Linked DNA regions of Oryzias latipes. The protein of the gene in region 1 purifies or fractionates together with the protein of each later gene. This does not show direct contact. Links are inferred from orthologs where the notes say so. Each region holds a gene or a part of one and is shown in the gene's direction. Other genes may lie near its edges.

Region 1 (10,197 bases):
CATCATCATGCAGAGTATTTTTTAAACTAGTTCAACAGTTAATACTTATAGGAAAAAACTGTCTTGTTTCTTTGAAAATTCGATATCCCTGATGTAAAACATTACCTTTTTTTTCTTTTCTAATTTTGAATAAAATAAAAATATCGAATATATGAACACAGCTAAAGTGCATCTTTGTCATGCGCTTTGATTTTCTTGACGTGTATTTTTACATTGATTGCAGGTTTTATGAGCTAAATGGAGGACGGAGGAAGTGATGCAGCCCCTACATCCAAGAGCCAGGCAGGCTCAGCACACCTGCAGAGTACGTTTCTGATTGCTCCCTGTAAAAAGCCTTTTCCTGTGTTTAAACTGCCCACAGCAAGTAATCACATGCTTATTTTCTTTTCTCAGCTCCAAAAAATGAGGACGCCTTTGAAATTGCTATTCCATATGAGGAAAACAACTTTGATCAGCAGGGATTTTTCAATCAGAGTGATCAGAATTTTAATGGTAAAAGATCAGTACTGTAAATTACTTTTCGCTCGTGATTTCTCTTTCCTAATTGTATTGTCTTTTTGTGCCTAGAGTCACCGTCAAATCCTGGTCCATCTCCAGCCACCAACTCATACATGATGATAACTAACTTGCGAACCCAACTCCAGATCTCCCTGGAGAAAAACTCTTGGCTGCAAAAAAGAATAGAAGATTTGGAGGAGGAGAGGGACTTCCTGCGTTGCCAGCTGGACCGCTTCATCTTTTCTACAAAGAGCCAGGGACAAGAGCAGTGCCGGAGCCAGTATAGTAATGGTGAGGAGAGGGACATGACTGACTATCAGTGCTTTGACAAGAAACTTGCATGGAAATTTAATGTTACCATTTTTTGTTCTCTCTCTACAGGCTATGAATCTAGACGATTTAACTGGAAGTTAAGAAGAGAGGGATATCGCCCCAGTGGTAAAAAACAAAGAAAAAAAGAAAAGAAAAAAGTCTTACACAATATTGATTTATTTAAAAAAAAAGCTGTAACATAGATTGCTATATTTGTGTATGTGTTACATCTTAACCTGTAAACTCTCCGCTACATAACAGTTTTTCCTTTTTTCTCTATTGAACAACAAAAAACAGAGTCGTCACATTTCCCTCAACGTCAGTTTATGCCTCGAAGGTCAGGTCCTGCTGCTATGTTGTCCTCCAAAAGCCATGTTTCTAGTCCAATAAGCACTCAACTGGCCTCCATGAATGTGTTATTCAACTCTGCACAATCGCAGTCTCTTCTACAAGGCCACAGTGCTTCCGGTACCACAGCCAGTACTACAGCCAGTACTACAGCCAGTACCACAGCCAGTACCACAGCCAGTGGCAGCGCTGCGCGATCGTCTGTGAACGACATAAACGCACACAATGGTCCAGGTAATACAAAATTAAACCTATTAACTTGGTCTTTTTAGATGTTTTACAAGGATTTTCTCTTGTCAGATTCCCTCTCGTTTATTGGAGAGTCAGACGAATACCTGGAACCGGACGGCTACATGGAGGAAGAGGAATTAATACCAGGGGAAGATGTTTTGTCAGACACAATAAACCCCAGCCAGCATCAGCTGAAGATACGACAGATCTTCCGAGTTCCAAGAGAACGCCAGAGGGGTAAAAGAAAGGATCAAAAAGATTCTGCAATAAGACTCAAAGAGTTTACAGTTTTAAGTCTTAACTGTTGCAAGCTAAAAGATATATTTTTCTTCTTCAGTGAAAGATGTTGCTGGAGTGCTGTTTCGCTATAAGAAGATTCTCCTTACGTACCAGCATCTCAAGAATATGTCCAAAGCCTTCCAGATCCATGGAGTTGACCGCAACACAGTGGCTTCTACCACCCCCATTGCTGAGCTGCTTCTAGTTGCTCCAGAGAAAGTGGCTGAGGTTGGAGAGTTTGACCCATCCAAAGAGAAGCTGCTGGACTATGCCAGGCGCTGCTACATAGCTCTGGATGAAGAGACACTGAGCAGAGTGCAAGCCTTAAAAAAGAACAACCTTCTTCTGCCCATTTCCTACAGATTCAGACAATGAAAAAAAGCAAGGCAGATGTAAAGAAGAGCTCAGTAAGAAACGTGTGCTGCTGTGCACGTGTGATTATAAACTGCTGCTGTGATGCTGTTCTTTCCAAACACGGAAAATATGACCTAAAAGTTTGATCAAGTTCATCGTCACTCTACTGACACATGCCTGCTGTTAAAAAGAAGCAATGACTTGAACATACGACATTCTACATCTCCATTTTGTCTTAACTTTAAGACTCACCCAGAGGAAAATTATGTTTTTGTTGAATATAACATGTTCTAGTGGCAATTTTTTGAATGATGAAGGACATATATTGAGACAATGAAGCTTAAAATTGAATTTCTGAGTACTTCTTTATTTAGATTGTTGTGAATCAGGAGCAGACAAAAAAATGCAGTTTGAAAAGAATGTATTTGTTACATAGAAAATATGCTGGGCACTTTATTCTGATGCACTCACTTGGAGACAAATAAATTCATGTAAGTCTCCGTTTTCCTGGTCTGAGCTGGCATCAGGCTCAAAACTGTACGGCTGGATTTTTCTTTAAAGTAATATGACAACCAACAGACTTTTCTTTTGTTTTTATTTTTTTGGCTGGGACGTAAAAGAATTTCGACATTGATCATTAGTTCCACTTTAGGTATACCCAGTAATTTATGTACATTGACAAACTGGATTGCAATAGATGGCACATTGTATGCTTAAAATACATTGCATTGTGGTAATTGCATATTTTGTATAATGTGAATCTCGGCATTGACACTATTTATTACTGTTTCAGGTATTTGTAAGACTTGTGTGACTTTTGGCTGGCTGTGAACATTTGTTGTCATCGTACAAACAACTTTACAGTTAGAAAAACAGCAAAACAGATGGAATTGACTCACAAAGAACATATTTCTTCTTTCTGATGCTCCACAACACATGCATGCTTTGCAGCCTATCCAGTTCTTGCCTTAATTTGTGATTAGAAAATAAACCATATGGTATTATGAAGATTGAATGGAATATACATAAGCAGTATTAAGATATCTGGAAACAAAATAAACTTTGGCTTTTCTTCGTCAATTTGGCCTCAGTGAATCGTCCTTCACCATCTAACCCTGTCCTCTGCATCTTCCTCACTCACATCAACCACTTGGTTGTCCTCCTACAGCCACAAGCCTTCCTCTGGACCCCTTCTGGTAGCTTTAACCTTAGCATTCTTTTATCAACATGATCATTGAATGTGTCCAAACCATCTCAATCTGCTTCCTTGCATTTATCTCCAAACCATCTAGCATTAGCTGTTCATCTACTGGACTCATTCCTGACCCCATCAATTTCCTCTTTGCTACTTCCATCTCTGGCTCCTGGCAGAATCACTGTCTCTAAACTGACATGTCTCCTCTCACCACAATCTTCTACACATTTCTGCTTGTGATTGTATGATCAAAAGTCAAAGTTATTTTCGTCTGGAAATGGTGGTATATGACCCAATATGAACCATAGCAGAAACTTGAAAATGTAATAAATCGTGACAAAAACCCATTGGAAACTCTAAAATGTGACAGAGCAGAGCAGATGACCCAACAGTAAAGAACTAAAAACTAAACATTCAAAAGCCAACTGAAGACAGCTGTGGATCTTCAGCCTGAACCTGATGCTACAGACAGGAGAAAATAGGTCAAAACAGAACCTGACAAGAACTAAGTAAATGTCACAAAAAGCCCAAAACACACAATGGTATGCAAGAAAATAAACAGCCCTGTCCTGTCTGCTGATGAAGATATGGGTGCAAACTGCACACTGCAGTCCTTTGTGCAGAATTTTCTGTCACTCTGCATCCCATATAAGACAGTGATACCAGGCGGCAGCACGCCGTTCACAACAAAAAAAAAAGGCAGAAAAGTTGTTTTCCTTGCGTTTCCTTCAATAATGAAGTTTAGGTGTTTGCCTTGGAGGGAGCTACTGCTGATATTTTTTGATGAGAAGTTGGCAATAGACACATCGTCACCTGTATGTAAAAAGACAACAAAATAGGAATTGCAAAGCACTGACAGCTTATTATTTGACATTTATGAAATGTTGTTGGTAAAGGAGTGAATACGTTTAATTTACTATAACGCCAAAACGACCAACTGCCATCACAGCAGACAACACTCACACAGGATGGCAGCAAAAAATGATCAATCCATCATTACAGTTCAATGTGACGAAACACTTTGAATTATGCAAAGACATGTGACCATACAGCGTGGCAGAATGTTCTAAAAATGTTCCCTTTGGATTATTTTGATGTGGAAAAACATTAGTGGGATGAACTTTATGAAAATAAAATGTGAATGGATTTTCCATTAATTCTTGTTTACTTGTTTGTTTGTTTTTACACTTGATTATCTTGCAAGAAATAGAAGGAATCTGGAAAACTTCACCTGCACCGTTCAGTCTCCAGGTGTTTATCTCTAAGTATCACTGGTTGAATTTTTGGCTAAAGATGTCCTCGATCGAGTTTAGGCCAGTGAATCGGATCAACTCAGATCATTCAAAATGAACCAATATTAACTATGAATCATATCAGCAAACATGAATTATGATATGAATAAACACCATGAATCGTTACATCCCTACTAGAAAGACGAACTCTAAGAAATTAATATTTTGCATAACAGGGCCTGATAGAGCTCATCTAAACATGATCTGTCCTGCCTGTCTGTGTGTAAAAAATGGGCTATTGCTTGATGAACCGTAAATCATTCAAAGTATACAGCAGGATGCTGACAATTCTTCTGAATCTATCCGCAGTGCTTAGGGCTGAGTTTTGTGTTGATCTTTCTTAAGGATCTATCACTAAAATCCAGTTTGTAGTTGTTTAATTAAATTGTGTAAATGACCGTTGATTGAAACACAAAAGCTTTAAGCATAACATTTAAAATCTACAGTAAGTTTTGGATATTTAACTATATTAACATGTATTTTTAACTGAAACACGTCGTTTTTAAGTTCATACATTTAGAAATATTCTCCCAATAACCATTACAGAGAAAGTCACATGCAGGTGTTCTGTTGTTTTAATCAGAATTCAATCACAGAATTGTCTCCATGCAGCTCCAAACACAAGCCAGAACCACACGACGTTCTTCTACCGGAAACGCAGCGTTCATCAACTTCCGATGTCACGGGGTATCTGGGAGTCGGAGCAAAAAAGCGGGCACAACAAAATCTTTGCTGTTTTTGTAGACTTAAAACAGCAGAAGGCGTAAAGATTTGGATTATTGCGTCACATAAACACATATTGTGGGCCTGTGACTAAGCTGGATTCGCTTTGGGCTTCGAAAATAGTCTCATTTATTCGGATTTCGTAGCCTAGCTAGCAGCTGAGCCTCCTCGGCGGTGTGGAGCAGCAGGCCTTTCTTCTGGACTTTGCTACAAGCTAGTTAGCTGGCGTTAGCGGGCTAACTTAAGCGAGCACGTTTTTCCTTTTTCCGTATTTGTATGTGTTACATTTGAGCAAATACCACGTCACTAATGTGTGTGATACCACCTATCGTTTGATAGGTTTGTTTTTGAGCCGTGTTTTTGCTAACCGAGGTTAACTTTCCGAAGCGCTATCATTGAAGCGCTTGAATCTCAAAGTGCTCACTTTCTTGCTAGCTTAAGCTAGCCTCCGCCAACCGAACAACGCAGTCTTCGAAAGCGTAGTAGGTTTCTATCCAGAGATGTCGGATTTCGACGAATTTGAAAGACAACTGTCTGAGAACCATCAAGGTAAATGGACTAGTTACACAATTAACAATGATTGCAAAAGAGGTACATGTCATTTTTATCTCTATGGTTAGCACGTCGCGGACGTGTCTGTTTAACTGGCCTATGATCAAATAGCCTCTAAATGTACAACGCAGCTTTACAAGTTTATCGATGTTTTCCTGTAATCTGGCTTTCGGTACTGTTGTATAATGCTATTAACATTAAAATGTTTTCAATTTTGTATTATCTTGAACTCCATCGTGGTATTATTATGGCATGTCCGATTCATGTGGCGTGTAATAATATTTAAGCGGTGCTTTCTGTCATTGAATTATCATTCAGCCGCTCGTGCTCGATAGTTCCTTTTTACAAGTTCAACTGTTTATCTTTATACATTCTCTACTGCAGTTTTTGCAATAGTCCTTTCAGTTTCATATTGTGTTTATGCTACTGATACAAATTCTTGCTTCTTTAATATAGCTGGTTTCCTGTACTCTCCTCTTTTATCTTCCTTTTTTTCCCACCTATCTGCAGATGCATCGTCTTGTAGCATGATTAACATAAAAATGTACTTTTAAGAGAAATAACCTCATTTATGCACATTTTCCTTCTACTTGATTACTACTTGATTTATCTTTTCACTTTGTGTTCATACCTGTAAGACCATTTATGAAAATTAAAATTAAACATCGAGAACATGTCTAAATTCAGCTCGCTTTAATTTGCTTTTATGAACAATATTTCTGGGGTTATGTTTTTTAAGAAGATTTTTGTTTTAATGAAAAACACTTTATACTTTTATACTTCATAGTTACTGAGCACCGCTCTTTTGCCACAGAAAGGGACAAAGAAAACCGGCACCATCGTCGTTCTTCATCCCGCAGCCGCAGCAGAGAGAGGAAGAAGAGGAGCAGGGATGGCGGGGAAAGACGCAGCAGGGACCGCCGTGGGGACAGTAAGGAGCGGAGACACCGGCGCAAGTCAGTACATCTACACCAATCCTCCTGTTTAAAAACAAGCTGTTATGTGTAAAATCTCTTATCAACTGTCCAGCAATAACATGGCAACGTTAAGTCTCTTTATTAACTTTATTGTAATGTCTGCAGTCTACATGCATCATTACATTGTTCACACAAATGCACCAGTTATGTATGTTTGTTCTGATGAGCTTTTGATTTCATTTGATTTATTCGTTTTTTTTTCCCTACTTCTTTTGAAATTAGAAGAGAATTCTCACTTGTTTGTTTTGAAGTGCATTGATATTCAAGTGTGACTGGAAATGCAGTGTTTTTTATTTTATTTATGAATCATAACTCAAAAAGTTTGTTTGATTCATATAAGAAATCTAAATCTCTTCCTCCAATTTGTCATTTCAGCTCGCCACCCGCCTACCCTCAAGAAAATACTGCAAGGTAACAGAAAACTTAACACAAAGCTGGCAGTTGCAGAAACTGTACATTGACACTCCTATCACTTTAAAGACAATTTACACATGTTCAAGTAATTTGTTTTTGGGTATTGTCCATTTTTCTGTCTTTTTTGTCACTTTTACTATGTTGAAATCGATGCAACCTTCTTTAAAAAAAAGTTCATTTTCTCCTAATGTTTATTTTTTTTTCTTCCCTCTTACAGCCGATCTCCCCATCGTGAAAAGAAGAAGAAGATCAAGAAGTATTGGGATGTTCCTCCTCCTGGTTTTGAGCATATCACTCCCATGCAGTACAAAGCCATGCAAGGTAACTCTTATCTGTTTCCAGTGTATTTAATTCACAAATGTGTACACATAACATGCTAAAGGCCTGTTCACACCGGGACGAATTTCGCCGGCGATTTTCGCCGACGTTTAACGCCTCGTGACTAAACAAAGGGCACGAAAAAACGTGCACGCGTTAAAGCGTAAAAAAAAAAACGCCTCGGGTTCGTTTTTTTTTCGACGCGACGCGTCGCGTCGAAATCTACTCGACCAATGAGAATGGCACTTTTGCTCACGTGTCTGGAGCTTCTGAAGTTACAGTAAAACACAACTTGGGGGCGCTCAAACACAAAACTGCCTTGCTGAGCACACATACCAGCGAAGAAGATAGACGCCAAGTAGCGTCTACACAGCCGCGAAGCAATAATGACGGACATTCTAAAATATCCCCGAACCAAGCACCAGTTGGAGCTACTGGTGCTTGAAATATTCATGTTTTCTTTGTTTGATTCTGACAAGCGTGTAAATACTTGCTCTCTTCTTCTGAGTGAAAAGCGACTTTAAGAAGCGTAAAGTTGCGCAGCGCCACCTTGTGTACAGGAGTATTTCTGTTTTACATTAAGCGCCATCTAATGTCAGGGAATGAAATTGCATGTTCACTCCACTCATCGTCAGCGAAAATCGCCTGGGTGTGAACACAAAAAACGTGGCGAAAAACGCTGGCGAATAACGCCTGGCGAATATTCGTCCCGGTGTGTACGGGCCTTAAAGTGTGTCATCTCTGTGCAGCCGCAGGCCAGATTCCAGCCACAGCTCTCCTGCCAACCATGACTCCAGATGGACTGGCTGTTACTCCCACTCCTGTGCCTGTAGTGGGGAGCCAGATGACCCGGCAGGCCCGCCGGCTTTATGTGGGTAACATCCCCTTTGGTATCACAGAGGTAAGCCATGGAAAAAATAGCGGAATGTTTCCAAACTAAATTCACATTCAAACCAAAAATGAGTGTTTAAATCTTATCTCTCTCTGTTTAGGAGTCCATGATGGATTTCTTCAATGCTCAAATGCGCTTGGGTGGTCTCACCCAAGCCCCTGGCAACCCTGTTCTTGCAGTACAGATCAACCAGGATAAGAATTTTGCCTTTCTTGAGGTTAGAAATGAGCCCTTGATACTTTCAACTATGCCTCTACACACTCTTTTAATTGCACGCTTGCGTATCTCATTGACGTTGGTTTCTTTGCAGTTTCGTTCAGTTGATGAAACTACACAGGCAATGGCCTTTGATGGCATCATCTTTCAAGGCCAGAGTCTGAAAATCCGTCGTCCACACGATTACCAGCCCTTGCCTGGCATGAGCGAGAACCCCAGTGTCTATGTGCCTGGTACACAGACAATTAATGGTTTTTAACTCTAAATTTTTGTGGCAAAATTTCAAAATTATCACAAAGTTACTCCTTGAGAGTTTACTTTTTGTGAATTTTGATTGCCCTTGTTTTTGCTATTATGGATCGTCTAGGTGTGGTGTCGACTGTGGTACCAGACTCGGCTCATAAGCTCTTCATTGGGGGTTTGCCCAACTACCTGAATGATGACCAGGTCGGTGTGTCTCATTTTTGGAAGAAACAGTTCTTACACTAGTTTTTTTTAAAAAAATAATGGTATTAATAGAAGGATTGTTGCTTTTCTTAGCTGTAATGTAAAAGTAAATAGTTTGTCTAAAATGTTGGTGTATTGTGTTTTAGGTGAAGGAGCTGTTGACATCATTCGGGCCTCTGAAGGCCTTCAATCTGGTAAAAGACAGCGCCACAGGCCTCTCCAAAGGATACGCTTTTTGCGAATACGTTGACGTCAACTTGAATGACCAGGTAGAAAGTCTCCACAGAAAATTGTCCCCTCGCTTGCTCTGAATTGCCCGCTTAAGCTCTGATGTTGTTGTAGGCTATTGCTGGCCTGAATGGCATGCAGCTTGGAGACAAGAAGCTGCTGGTGCAGAGAGCCAGTGTGGGATCCAAGAACGCTACTCTGGTGAGGATCCAGCTGCTCTGCCGAGCAGATTTTTTTAACTTTAACAGTTTTTTACTGCTTATTTTAATATTTTTTTAACGTGTTACCTGAATGAACATCAAATATATTTCAGCGTTTTCTTTGTTTTAAATTAAATCCAACATTTCACGTAAACCTTTGCTTCGTATTTCAGACAAGTATAAACCAGACCCCAGTGACGCTGCAGGTACCAGGTCTGAACAGCTCCGTGACTCAGATGGGGGGCCTCCCCACTGAGGTGCTATGTCTGATGAACATGGTGGCCCCTGAAGAGCTCCTGGACGATGAGGAGTATGAGGAGATCGTGGAAGACGTGAGGGAGGAGTGTGGCAAGTATGGCCAGGTGAAGAGCATTGAGATCCCCCGTCCTGTGGACGGCCTGGAAGTTCCTGGAACCGGCAAGGTAAGCAGTCGCTCAAAAGAAACATCTTTGAAACAGTCGTGTGCCCCCATCTTCACATTTCTTTTGTTTCTATTGTTTTGACAGATCTTTGTGGAATTCACGTCGGTTTTCGACGCCCAAAAGGCCATGCAGGGGCTCACAGGGAGGAAGTTTGCCAATAGGGTGGTGGTGACCAAATACTGCGATCCAGATGCTTATCACCGCCGGGACTTCTGGTAGAGAAGGCATTGAGAAGAGGAGCAGGGGGTGGGGAGGGAGGTAAGGGGACGTCATGTGTATTACCCGTTTCGAAAGCAGCC
Region 2 (10,471 bases), on another chromosome or scaffold:
TCTTACATTTTAATGAGCCATTATATCTTTCCTGCCAAATTCCAGCCCCATTATTTCACCTGTAAACACACACCACATTCACTCTTGTTTGGAACATGCTGCAAGCTAAGTACCAATTAATAGCTTGAGTGTTAGCTTTTAGACACCAGCTCTCATTCTCCTGTCAGCCACAAACAAATAGCTTCACCAACATTTTGACTTTCTTCAATATTCCAACCCAAAGATGTGACCCTGTCTGTTTCTCCATTAGCCTATGTTCATAAGAAAAAAGTGGACATCCTGCAGCCATGTGACACTGAGTACCCCAGCTTCATTTATGAGCCGTCAGTCAAAGAGACCAACAGCATTATCAAGTGTGGACGATGCCAGAAGTAAGCACACACTTGTGTACACTTTATGAACATCAAAAAAGTTAAATGGCCCTCTGCAAGCCGCATTAAATTATATTTTTAAAACACATTTTCAGTGCCTCTGCTTTATTTGAGCAGTGTTTGTTTGTTTGAATGTTTTATCAAGAGAAAGGTAAGTGTTGGGTTATTGAGAAATTGGGAGAATGGGAGACAGAGTAGTAGGTAAATTTTAAGGAGCAGAAAAAAAGAGAAAATAACTGGATTCAAATGGAAGTGGATAGGAAAAGCATACTGGTCATAAATATTGTGTTGAGTATGACCGCCCTCTTGTGGAAAAATATGGTATTTCAGTCATCATTGACCCTTAAGTCTAAAGACACGCACAATAAAGTTTATTTATTCTATGCTGTTTAAGAGCACTTATTCTGTTTGTGTCAGAATGTTTGTAGTGCAACAGATCCCAGAGAGCAACCTGTTGATGTTGGTTGTGCAAGCAGACTGTGACTGCTCCAGGCAGTACCCGCCCATAACCCTGGAGCCCAAAGAAGTCAAATATATCCTTTGATTTGGGTATCTAATATACATTATGAAAAATCTAAATACATTTTTAAAAATCAATTGATCTCAGGAAGAATATGGATTTTTCTTACATCCTCTACGTTTTTACTATGACCCAAAAATGTGTATTATATAATGCCCAATTCTAGACGCTATTGGTTTTTTGTTCCCCTTGACCCTGTTCAACATAATGCATCAGTGAAGTGTGACAGAATGAGGTCTCAGAAGATTCGCAGACGCCCTGAGTCCTGTCATTCTTATCATCCGCAGGTAAGCTTTCCACTCGTTATATCCTCGTGCTTATCTTTTTATTTTTGTCTATATGTTATTTGTAAAGTATTAAATAGCAACTTGTTGATTTGAGTAATAACCTGCAATAAGTTCTAATCAAATTGTGTCTCTGCTTGGGTCCTGCAGGAGAATGCAGACGACTGTGGAGGGGCATCTGTCATTTCACTGTCATATGTCCTCCTCCTGCTATGTCTTTCCATTGCTGGATCAATTTCCTGATGATGGACAACTTTCTTACAACGTTTTTAAGTCTTCTTGCTCTCATTAAAAAAAAGGAAAAAAGTCTTGGACTTCTGAAGCATTATATTTTGTAAGTTTAAGAATGACAACCGAGTAAAGCAAGTTAATGGATTGCTGTTGCCATGGACACTTTCCAGCAAACTCACTCCTGCACGCCTTTGAGTCACAGATTGAAAATGGACTGAAAAGATGAAGGTTACAGCATCTGTTTTTAAAAGGAATGGTGAGTCACAAGTTGCAGCATAAGTAATTAGAGCAAGAGTGCAACACATCTCCAGTTGTCCGTCTCCATCTTCCTCTGATCTGAAGATCACAGGCAAGGCCTAGAGCGCATTTGCAAATATGCACTTCAGCCTTCAAGATCCACATTACTGCATCTGTTTTTGTTATATGTTGCATTTGAAAAAATAGTTAGCGTGAAGAGAAACTTGAGTTGGTAAATTGTATCACAGGGCATTTTTTAAAGGGGTTTGATGAATCAACCAAAGCAGACTAGATGAAGGCCCAGTCAGAAATGTCTTATATGAGTGGTATCAGAAATATTTAAGTTAAAAGTTGGAAGGGTCATACTTTTATCCCTAATTTTTACATGTTTTAAGACTAATTACATTTTACCTGCCACAATTTTAAAACGTTTTTCTGCCTTTTTTTGTCTTGTGCACTTTCACCATGTAATTAAATTGTTCTTGAAGTTAAAGCAAAAAAAAGTTTTTCTTTTGCATAACATTTTGCCTCAGGTTTTTTTTTAAGTATCTGTAATGCTCTGCTGAAAAAAATAAGTAAACAACTTTAAAAGAAAAAAGAATCACAATGGTATCTATCTAATGATAATAACATTTGTTAATGTTGATTTATTTACCAATAAATTACAATGTATTTTTATATTGATTTAACTGAACGCTTCTTTTTTTCAAACTTCTTTTTTTCTTCCATTTTTGCATGTTAAAAAGATTTACTTCTAATATATTTGTTACCTTTTTTATATTCTTTTTAACTAAAACATTTAAAATGGTCTGACTGAAATTATTATTTTTGTTGTTGTTGTCTTTGGTTGTGTTATTGACAGAGGTAAAATCTAATATATATGAAATGTTTATGATTTTTTTTAGGAGGAGCTAAAACTTGGAATGTGATTTTGTTCTTTTGTTCTGTTTTTTTCCTTTGTAAAACAAACCTGTAAATTGTTCTTATGAAAGTATTACATGGATTAAAGCCATTATTTATAAAATAAAAGATCCACAAAGTTGTTTTTATTACATTTACTTTGACTGTGTGTCATTTCTGTTTGTCTCCTTTTATTCACCTATTATTTATAAACTTATAGTTTCATATAAATGAGCAGTAAATTTATAAAGATATAGTATGATAGCAGTGGTTGTTTCAACAAATTGGATTGTGAATGACAGATGATTTCAAAAAATAAAACTTTATTTTCCAATAAAGTTTTACAAAATTACTTTTTAAGGTAAAATCCTATGTGTTATAGTTATTATTGTATCCTTTACATCAGAGTAAGTATTCAAATGTTGATCAAAAGCCAGATTTAAATTTATTTATATGACATTATTGATAAAATGTCTAATATAGTGTAAAATGTGAGTCTACAAATAATACACCAAAATAGAATGTTTTGTGTCTTGTCAATGTACTTAAAATATTCATTCATTCATTAATTCATTTTCTTAACCGTTTATTCCCTTTCGGGGTCACGGGGCTGCTGGAGCCTATCCCAGCCACTTGGGCGTCTTAAAATATTTATATTTTTAATTTGAAAAAAATATTATAGTATAATTACAGCAATACCTAATACACAGGAAACTATATAGTTGGAGATCATGTTTCACTCTTCTCTTTACACATAACTTTGCTTTTTATTTTCACTTTTAACTTTGTTGTCAAGAATTGTTACAATTTTTATTAAAAGACCATTTCTTCCAGCGATTTGTGTCAAATTTGCTGAAATTTTCAATCAACAAAACAGTAATGGCAGGTGCACAGCTGTACGTAGAAAAAAGCGTGATCTATTCTATCTATTTGAGTTCTTTTAGAAATTGCATTTCCATTGTTGTGAAAATCATTTATTAATAAATAAATAGATATTGAATTCCTCTTTTAAATGCGTAATTACAAAATACATAACAGAATAATTTATATTTTTTATAGATGTCGTATTCAGTAGTATGAATGTTTAAAGTGAAATGCAGATGATCAATGAATCCGTCATTCCCAGCAGAGCAGGCTGTAGTTAGTGAATACGACCAGCAGGGGCGCTGATGCATCTCCCGGAGTTATTGTTTGTAGCTCCGATCCTCTGCACCGCCAGGCGGACGGAGGCACGAAGCAGAGGAAAATGGCGGACGGTGTGGATCATATCGACATCTACGCCGACGTAGAAGAGGAATTTAATCAGGTATTAAAATAAAATATTCTCGAGTTTGTTCAGTGCTTTGAAGTTCTTTTTCTAATTTTTGCAATGGTCTTTTCGGCGTTATAGGAAAAATAGGTGTAATTTGATGCTCGTGCTAGCTTCTCCACTAGCAATACACACACAGGCCTCTGTCAGTCAGTGTGCTGCGTTGGTTGCAGCATAGATAGCAAACTTCTGTACAATAGATCTGCATTTTTTATTCAAACAGTAGTACACATGTGGAGGTAAATGTGATGTGGGTTATTATTTAGAATATGTACATTTTTGTCCATCAGCAAAGCGTCTAGCAGCCTTTTCAGTGGAGCGCGCGTATAGGCCGCGCAGTGTGTGCTTTCTTTTTTTTTTTTTCTCCCGACGGAGGCTGTTAACCAAACACGCATTTCATGATAAGCTAGCTGGTGTTGGTTAACTTCACACGTTTAATTGGTTTACTGTATTGGACGTGGGTTATAGTTTGGATCAAATGTAACTTGGTGTACTTTTAAAAACGTCAAAAATAAAAACAAAAGGGGAAAACACGAGTTACACGGCTTCCATTCTGGCAGCAGGTTGGGTCATCATGCATGGTGGGTGTTTTTTTTTATTCTTGCGCGCGCGCACATTAAAAACCGCGCCCCCCTTTTTAGACCGCATACTAAAATCATAACTTACTGACATTTGTTTTGCACAGAATTTGTTATGGTATTATACTGTCGGAGCTAAACATTTAAAAATAAATGTTTTTTTTCCTTGTTTCTTATTAAAATTGTTTAGCTAAACTTAATTAAGAGCCAGTGACTTAAAAATTATTAGTCATGTTTTAGTTTTTTTTAACATTTCTTTAAGTTTACTACTCTTTTTTTCCTCATAAAGCGTGACATAAAATAAAGAGAAAAAAATGCTTTTGGAATTTAATTAATTTAAATCAATTTATTATAGTAATTTGCTTTTTCTAGTAACCATTTTTACTTTTAAATTCTGGTGTAATTTCTTTTATTTCAGCTTCTTCTTGTTGACTAACTCTCTAGCACTATTTGGTCTCCATGTTTTATTATAGCTGCAGCAATTTCCAGTAAAACAGGGAGCTAAGTAAGCGTCTGGTGATATGCAGTAAACTTCTATAGATTAGGGGTCAACAGCATTTGTGACATAAAGTGCCATTTTGAAATTTAGAATGTAAAAAAGTTCAATATGTCTAGAAATGTATTTAATTCCCAACAGCAGGCATTTTGGCATTACCTCAAAGACGTTCTTTCATAACAATATTGCACAAGGAAAATAGGCCAAACTTAAAAAGTGAACTTAAATAACTTAAAACTATGTTAGTTTGAAACAAAAAGTACAGCATTTGTGGTACATCATACTGTATACGTCATGTAAATTAAATCTATCATGGTGTTTTTATTGCATGTAAAAGTAAATGTTTTACTTTGACCTTAGAATGCTAATTATAGTAATATAAATTTTCCACAATTGGACATTCTTCATTTTTTTTCACCCCCAGTAAATGGAGTGGCGATCAGCTGTACTATTCATTTTAAAACTTTTTCTCATTTCACATTTACATTTGTCAGAACATAAAAAAGTCAGGGTATAATCTGACCTTATTTGGTATTATCAACAAACTGAGCTTATAACTTCATAAATGGCAGTCGCTGTGACATCCTAAATATAATTAAAAAACCGGCTGTGCATTCATTAACCTTTAGCGCGTTTCCCGCTTATGCATGCGCTCATCGTATTGCCCCACCTGTCATCTCACCGCCAACAGCTTCAAAACACAGGGTCATTACGTCACCGTGGCAAACTTGTTTTTTTTGCCTGCAGTGCACAATCATTTAAATCACCCGTTCATAAAGGCAGAAAGTAACGTACATTGTGTGAAACTAGGCCTGCACAATATATCGCAAATTTATCGTTATCGCGACATTAAGCTGTGCAATATGCATACCACAAAAGACGGCGAAAATCGCAATAAATGGTTACCTTAAATGTGCTAAAACAATCTCGTGGCAGCTTGAAATATTGAACAAATGAAATAAATCCCTTTATGCATTTAACCAATCGGAAGGACCCATTTACGTTGTTGATCAATCAGATGAGCCCTTTTATGTTTGATGTTTGCCTCCTATGTCGACAAGGGTCATTTGGAGTATAATTTTTAAACTGTTGCAGTGAAATGGAAATTATGTTTTTGGTTGTTTTGCTGTTTGTTTATATACCGCGAATCATATCGTTATCGCAATATTAATCACCAATATCGCATATCGCGAGTTTTCCTCATATCGTGCAGCCCTATGTGAAACTATAAAAGTGGTTGGGGTCACAGTAACAGCGCTGCTTGAATGGACCATTTCCTTTTGGCCCCATAGGGGTGACAAAAGCTCATTGTGAGAAGAGATTGTCACTGTTTTTAATCCCGAAAGATGCAAAGAGGCGACAGATCCAAGTGGTTAATGTTGTCACAGCCACTGTCTTTCCCTCTGCGTCCCAGTTGTGGCAAACTGCCAATTCGATAAGCAACTTACCTTAGATTAGACAGATACATCTGTTTCAATCGTAAGAAAATAAATCGATTCGTTGATTAATCGTTACACCCCTGTACATTACTAAAAATAATATCCATCCATAATATCTTTCACTTAAAAGATGCATTTCTACATCCCCAGTTTTTATAAACGTTGAGCCACAGTTTCAGGTTCTTGTGGAATTGAACCCCACATGTTTTGCTTTAACTGTGTTAACTCATTTTTCTTTTAAAGGAATCGGAGTATCCAGTTCACGAGCAGATTGACTTGTACGATGATGTGATATCCCCATCTGCCAATAATGGAGATGCTCCAGAAGACAGGGACTACATGGATTCAATGCCTCCATCTGGCGGTTCTGACGGAGGGAAGAGTAATCCACCCAATGTGGTGTACACCTATACAGGCAAACGGATTGCTTTGTACATCGGCAACCTTACATGGGTGGGTTTCAACCATTCAAATTAAATAATTAGAAGTTTCATTGTCAATTTCGACTAAATGCTAAGAAAGTAGTATTGATAATTTGTCTCTTTTTATTATTGTTCTTTTTTTACAGTGGACAACAGATGAAGACCTGACTGAAGCCATTCGTTCAGTAGGCATTACAGATGTGCTGGAGATAAAGTTCTTTGAAAACAGGGCTAATGGCCAGTCAAAAGGGTGAGGACAGTAGTTTTTGTTTGTGTTTAACTCTTTACACCGAGGCTTTAGCTTCAATGTTAACGTTCTTTGGATTACCGTGACTCTTCAACTGTGGAAAAAGCAGCCTTACGCTGATGTGCAACACTTTACATTAATGATGTGTTGCATATCGGTGCAAATCCTCTATGAAAACCTGCTTTTCTCCAGATCAGAATCAGCCGATTCGGTTTGATCACGTAAATGGCCAAAGAGTTACGGTATGTCAAAGAGAGCGTGTGTTATTTATGTGTTGACGTCAGAGTATTTTTTATTTTATTATACATTCATATGTATAGGAATCCATGTCATGTGCAATTTATTGTATGCATTTTGTTTAAACCGCGCAGAGTTTATTCATTTTCAGAGTTGTGACGAGACTCAAGACAATTTGAACAGAAGTAATTAAAGTTGTGCCACCACAAAACCCTTAAGGTGATGCTTACTGTCCACCGTACCATTATATAGTTTGATGATTTCCGGTTTGAGCTTACACCAGGGGTGCCCACACTTTTTTGGCATGCGAGTTACTTTTGAGACAAGCTCCAAAAGATCTACCTAGATGGATGGATGGATGAATGTAAATAAAGTATTTTCTGTCTATTCAAAAGCTACACCGTAAGAGTACACAAATCTTTGTGAGGAGATAGCTCTGTTGTGTGTATTAATATTATTTTTATAGTAATACACAATTTGAACAGATAAGGCGGTTTATTATGTAAACAGATAGCAGCGACGATCGCGTTTCATGCTATGCTGACACTGTGTAATAGCAGGACATTTCCAAAGCGCAGCAGGCTTACTGACGGCTGAGCGAAGGGCGGCCCCTGCTCTGTGGGCAGGGCTATTGAAGTGCGTGCTTGTACACACTGCTGCCTGAGTTGGCGTTTCTGTCTCGCTTTCAATGGAGGACGCATGCATGCCTGCCCAGCCTCAATAAACGGTCCTGCAGGCGCAGAATGTCCTCCGCCTGGGACCTGGCACACAGCGGGGCTGGTAGCGTCTTTCTGATGGCACAAAGCGTCTGCGCTTAGTGTATTCAACCTTGCATTTGCAATGACGTATGGATCAGAGGATGCCTGCGTGGATGTTGTTTGTGTGAAAAAACTTCACTGTGAGGATGATGATTCAAATGTGGAACAACTACAAAACCTGGTGGCCTCATGAGTTCAACATTTTATAACTAGGATGTTTTTGCTTTGCATACTTATGACAGGGTGTCTTGTGCTGGTTTCCTTCAGGTTTGCTCTTGTGTGTGTTGGTTCTGAGGGATCATCCAGGAAACTGATGGACCTGTTGTCCAAGAGAGAGCTTCATGGTCAGAATCCTATAGTCACACCGTGCAATAAACAATCCCTAAGCCAGTTTGAGATGCAGTCACGCAAAAGTAAGTATTTCCAGTTTCATCTTACGATTTTCACAAATCTATTTAATTTGCTACAAATGAAAATATATTGCAACTTGATGAATTTTGAGCCATTTGAAACCTTTTATTTATTTATTTAGGTACTCAATCTGGTCAGATGTCAGGGGAAGGTAAAGCTGGTCCCCCTGGTTCAGGCCATCGCTCCGGATTCTCAATGGGCAACAGAGGTCGAGGCAGGTATCCTGGTCCACCTGGTTCTGGAGTAGATCGTTTCCCTCCTGGCCCCATAGGCCCTGGAGGCCCACCACCCCACTTTCCTGGTTAGTTTCTATTAGTGAGAAATCTGTGCTGGTTTGAACTGAAGAGGGAACTATTATAGGAGTTTTATGTGTCTGCATATAAATGGGAATGATCTTTACTTTTGTCTTTTTTGCTTTGCTCTCTACTGTTGTTTTCATAGGTGGAATGCAGGGTCTTCCACGTCCTCCCCCTGGTCCTCCTGGCCCCCCTGGTCCCGTAGGACCACCCCCTCCTGGCCAGGGTCTACCCCCACCCCTCGCAGGTCCTCCTAATCGTGGAGACAGACCTCCTCCTCCTCCTGTTCTCTTCCCTGGCCAGTTTGGTCAGCCTCCACTGGGACCTCTTCCCCCAGGCCCTCCTCCTCCAGGGTATGGTCCTCCTCCTGGCCCCCCACCTCCTCAGCAAGGCCCACCTCCTCCGGGACCCTTTCCTCCTCGCCCTCCGGGCCCTATTGGACCACCATTGGCTTTGGCCCCACCTCCACATTTGCCGGGCCCCCCACCAGGTGCTCCTCCACCTGCGCCTCATGTGAACCCTGCTTTCTTCCCCCCACCTGGCAACAACAGCTTGCCCCCTAACGACAGCCGAGGGCCACCCGGGCCAAACGACCCTTATGGACGCCCACCACCATACGAGAGAGACTACGGTCCTGGAGGCCGGTAAGAGTAGGGCAACTGTATTGTTTTGCTTGTTTTTTCAAAGGGTTGCAAATGTAACCTTTTTCAATGGCACCTTGTAGAGACATGGACTCATCACGGACTCCATTGAGTGAAGCAGAGTTCGAGGAGATCATGAACAGGAACAGAGCCATCTCCTCCAGTGCAATATCTCGAGCTGTATCAGATGCCAGTGCAGGTAACACTCCTGCTTTTAGTTATTCACCGAGTAAAGAAATTCATATTTATTAAGACCATGTCTTTTCTTTTCAGCCGATTATGGCAGCGCAATAGAGACTTTGGTGACAGCTATTAGTCTGATTAAGCAATCCAAAGTCTCAGCCGATGACCGCTGTAAGGTTCTTATCAGTTCTCTGCAGGACTGTCTCCACGGCATTGAGTCAAAAAGCTATGGTTCAGCGTCAAGGTAATGTTAAAAAATAAAAACCATCACTCGCTGAAGATAAGAATTTTAAAAAGTATTTTGTTACGGTTTTGTTTTTTTCTCCCAGACGTGAGCGGTCTAGAGAGCGTGACCATAGCCGCTCCAGAGAAAAGAGCCGGAGACACAAGTCCCGCAGTCGGGACAGGCATGAAGATTATTATAGAGAGCGCAGCCGCGAGCGTGATCGCCATCGTGAACGAGACCGTGACCGCGACAGGGAAAGGGAGCGGGAGAGGGAATATCGCCACCGTTAGCCAGGAAGGAAGGTGAGTTAACGGTTTTGTCTTTAGTCTTCCAAGTTTGTGTTGGAGTTTAATCAGTCTAACGCAAGGGATCAAAGAAAAAAAAGTTAGTCTAATTCCTCACCTCCTCTCTTCTTCAGTTCTTATGGTTTAATTGAAGCGCAGCAACTGGGTTGAACTTATGTTGTTTTTAGGTAGTAAATAAATGATTAAGAAATGATTTGATGAAGAAAAGGAGAGTTAAGCTGGAAAGAGACATAAACCTCACTTTGGTACTTTCAGGTAGGTGTCAGGTAAGTCGTCTGTATAATCCATAAAGAGATGTTAAAAGCTTTTGTTAATTAAATACACTGATAGAATGCACTGTGAATTCTTGAATCTTCAGTGTAGTTCTCCCAACTTCAGTA

Evidence for each region.
Region 2: the proteins of u2af2 (region 1) and cpsf6 fractionate together in Homo sapiens (co-fractionation; 3 studies listed by BioGRID, with this or other methods). This does not show direct contact. The link is inferred for Oryzias latipes from reciprocal best matches to the Homo sapiens genes U2AF2 and CPSF6.

Annotation. Positions count from the first base shown.
Region 1 is NC_019874.2:19,811,126-19,821,322, reverse strand, and holds the start of u2af2 (splicing factor U2AF 65 kDa subunit), read left to right. Parts: upstream 1-5,157; 5' UTR 5,158-5,732; coding exon 5,733-5,781; intron 5,782-6,571; coding exon 6,572-6,740; intron 6,741-7,136; coding exon 7,137-7,172; intron 7,173-7,392; coding exon 7,393-7,496; intron 7,497-8,242; coding exon 8,243-8,394; intron 8,395-8,485; coding exon 8,486-8,602; intron 8,603-8,695; coding exon 8,696-8,852; intron 8,853-8,959; coding exon 8,960-9,048; intron 9,049-9,194; coding exon 9,195-9,317; intron 9,318-9,390; coding exon 9,391-9,477; intron 9,478-9,649; coding exon 9,650-9,898; intron 9,899-9,982; coding exon 9,983-10,117; 3' UTR 10,118-10,197. Other genes in the region: ccdc106 (coiled-coil domain-containing protein 106), read left to right, coding at 238-304, 394-492, 568-789, 880-936, 1,108-1,392, 1,459-1,626, 1,727-2,043. UniProt on the Homo sapiens protein: Plays a role in pre-mRNA splicing and 3'-end processing. By recruiting PRPF19 and the PRP19C/Prp19 complex/NTC/Nineteen complex to the RNA polymerase II C-terminal domain (CTD), and thereby pre-mRNA, may couple transcription to splicing.
Region 2 is NC_019881.2:14,388,179-14,398,649, reverse strand, and holds the start of cpsf6 (cleavage and polyadenylation specificity factor subunit 6), read left to right. Parts: upstream 1-3,738; 5' UTR 3,739-3,789; coding exon 3,790-3,849; intron 3,850-6,608; coding exon 6,609-6,818; intron 6,819-6,933; coding exon 6,934-7,037; intron 7,038-8,296; coding exon 8,297-8,442; intron 8,443-8,561; coding exon 8,562-8,741; intron 8,742-8,869; coding exon 8,870-9,380; intron 9,381-9,460; coding exon 9,461-9,576; intron 9,577-9,650; coding exon 9,651-9,804; intron 9,805-9,889; coding exon 9,890-10,076; 3' UTR 10,077-10,088; intron 10,089-10,471. UniProt on the Homo sapiens protein: Component of the cleavage factor Im (CFIm) complex that functions as an activator of the pre-mRNA 3'-end cleavage and polyadenylation processing required for the maturation of pre-mRNA into functional mRNAs.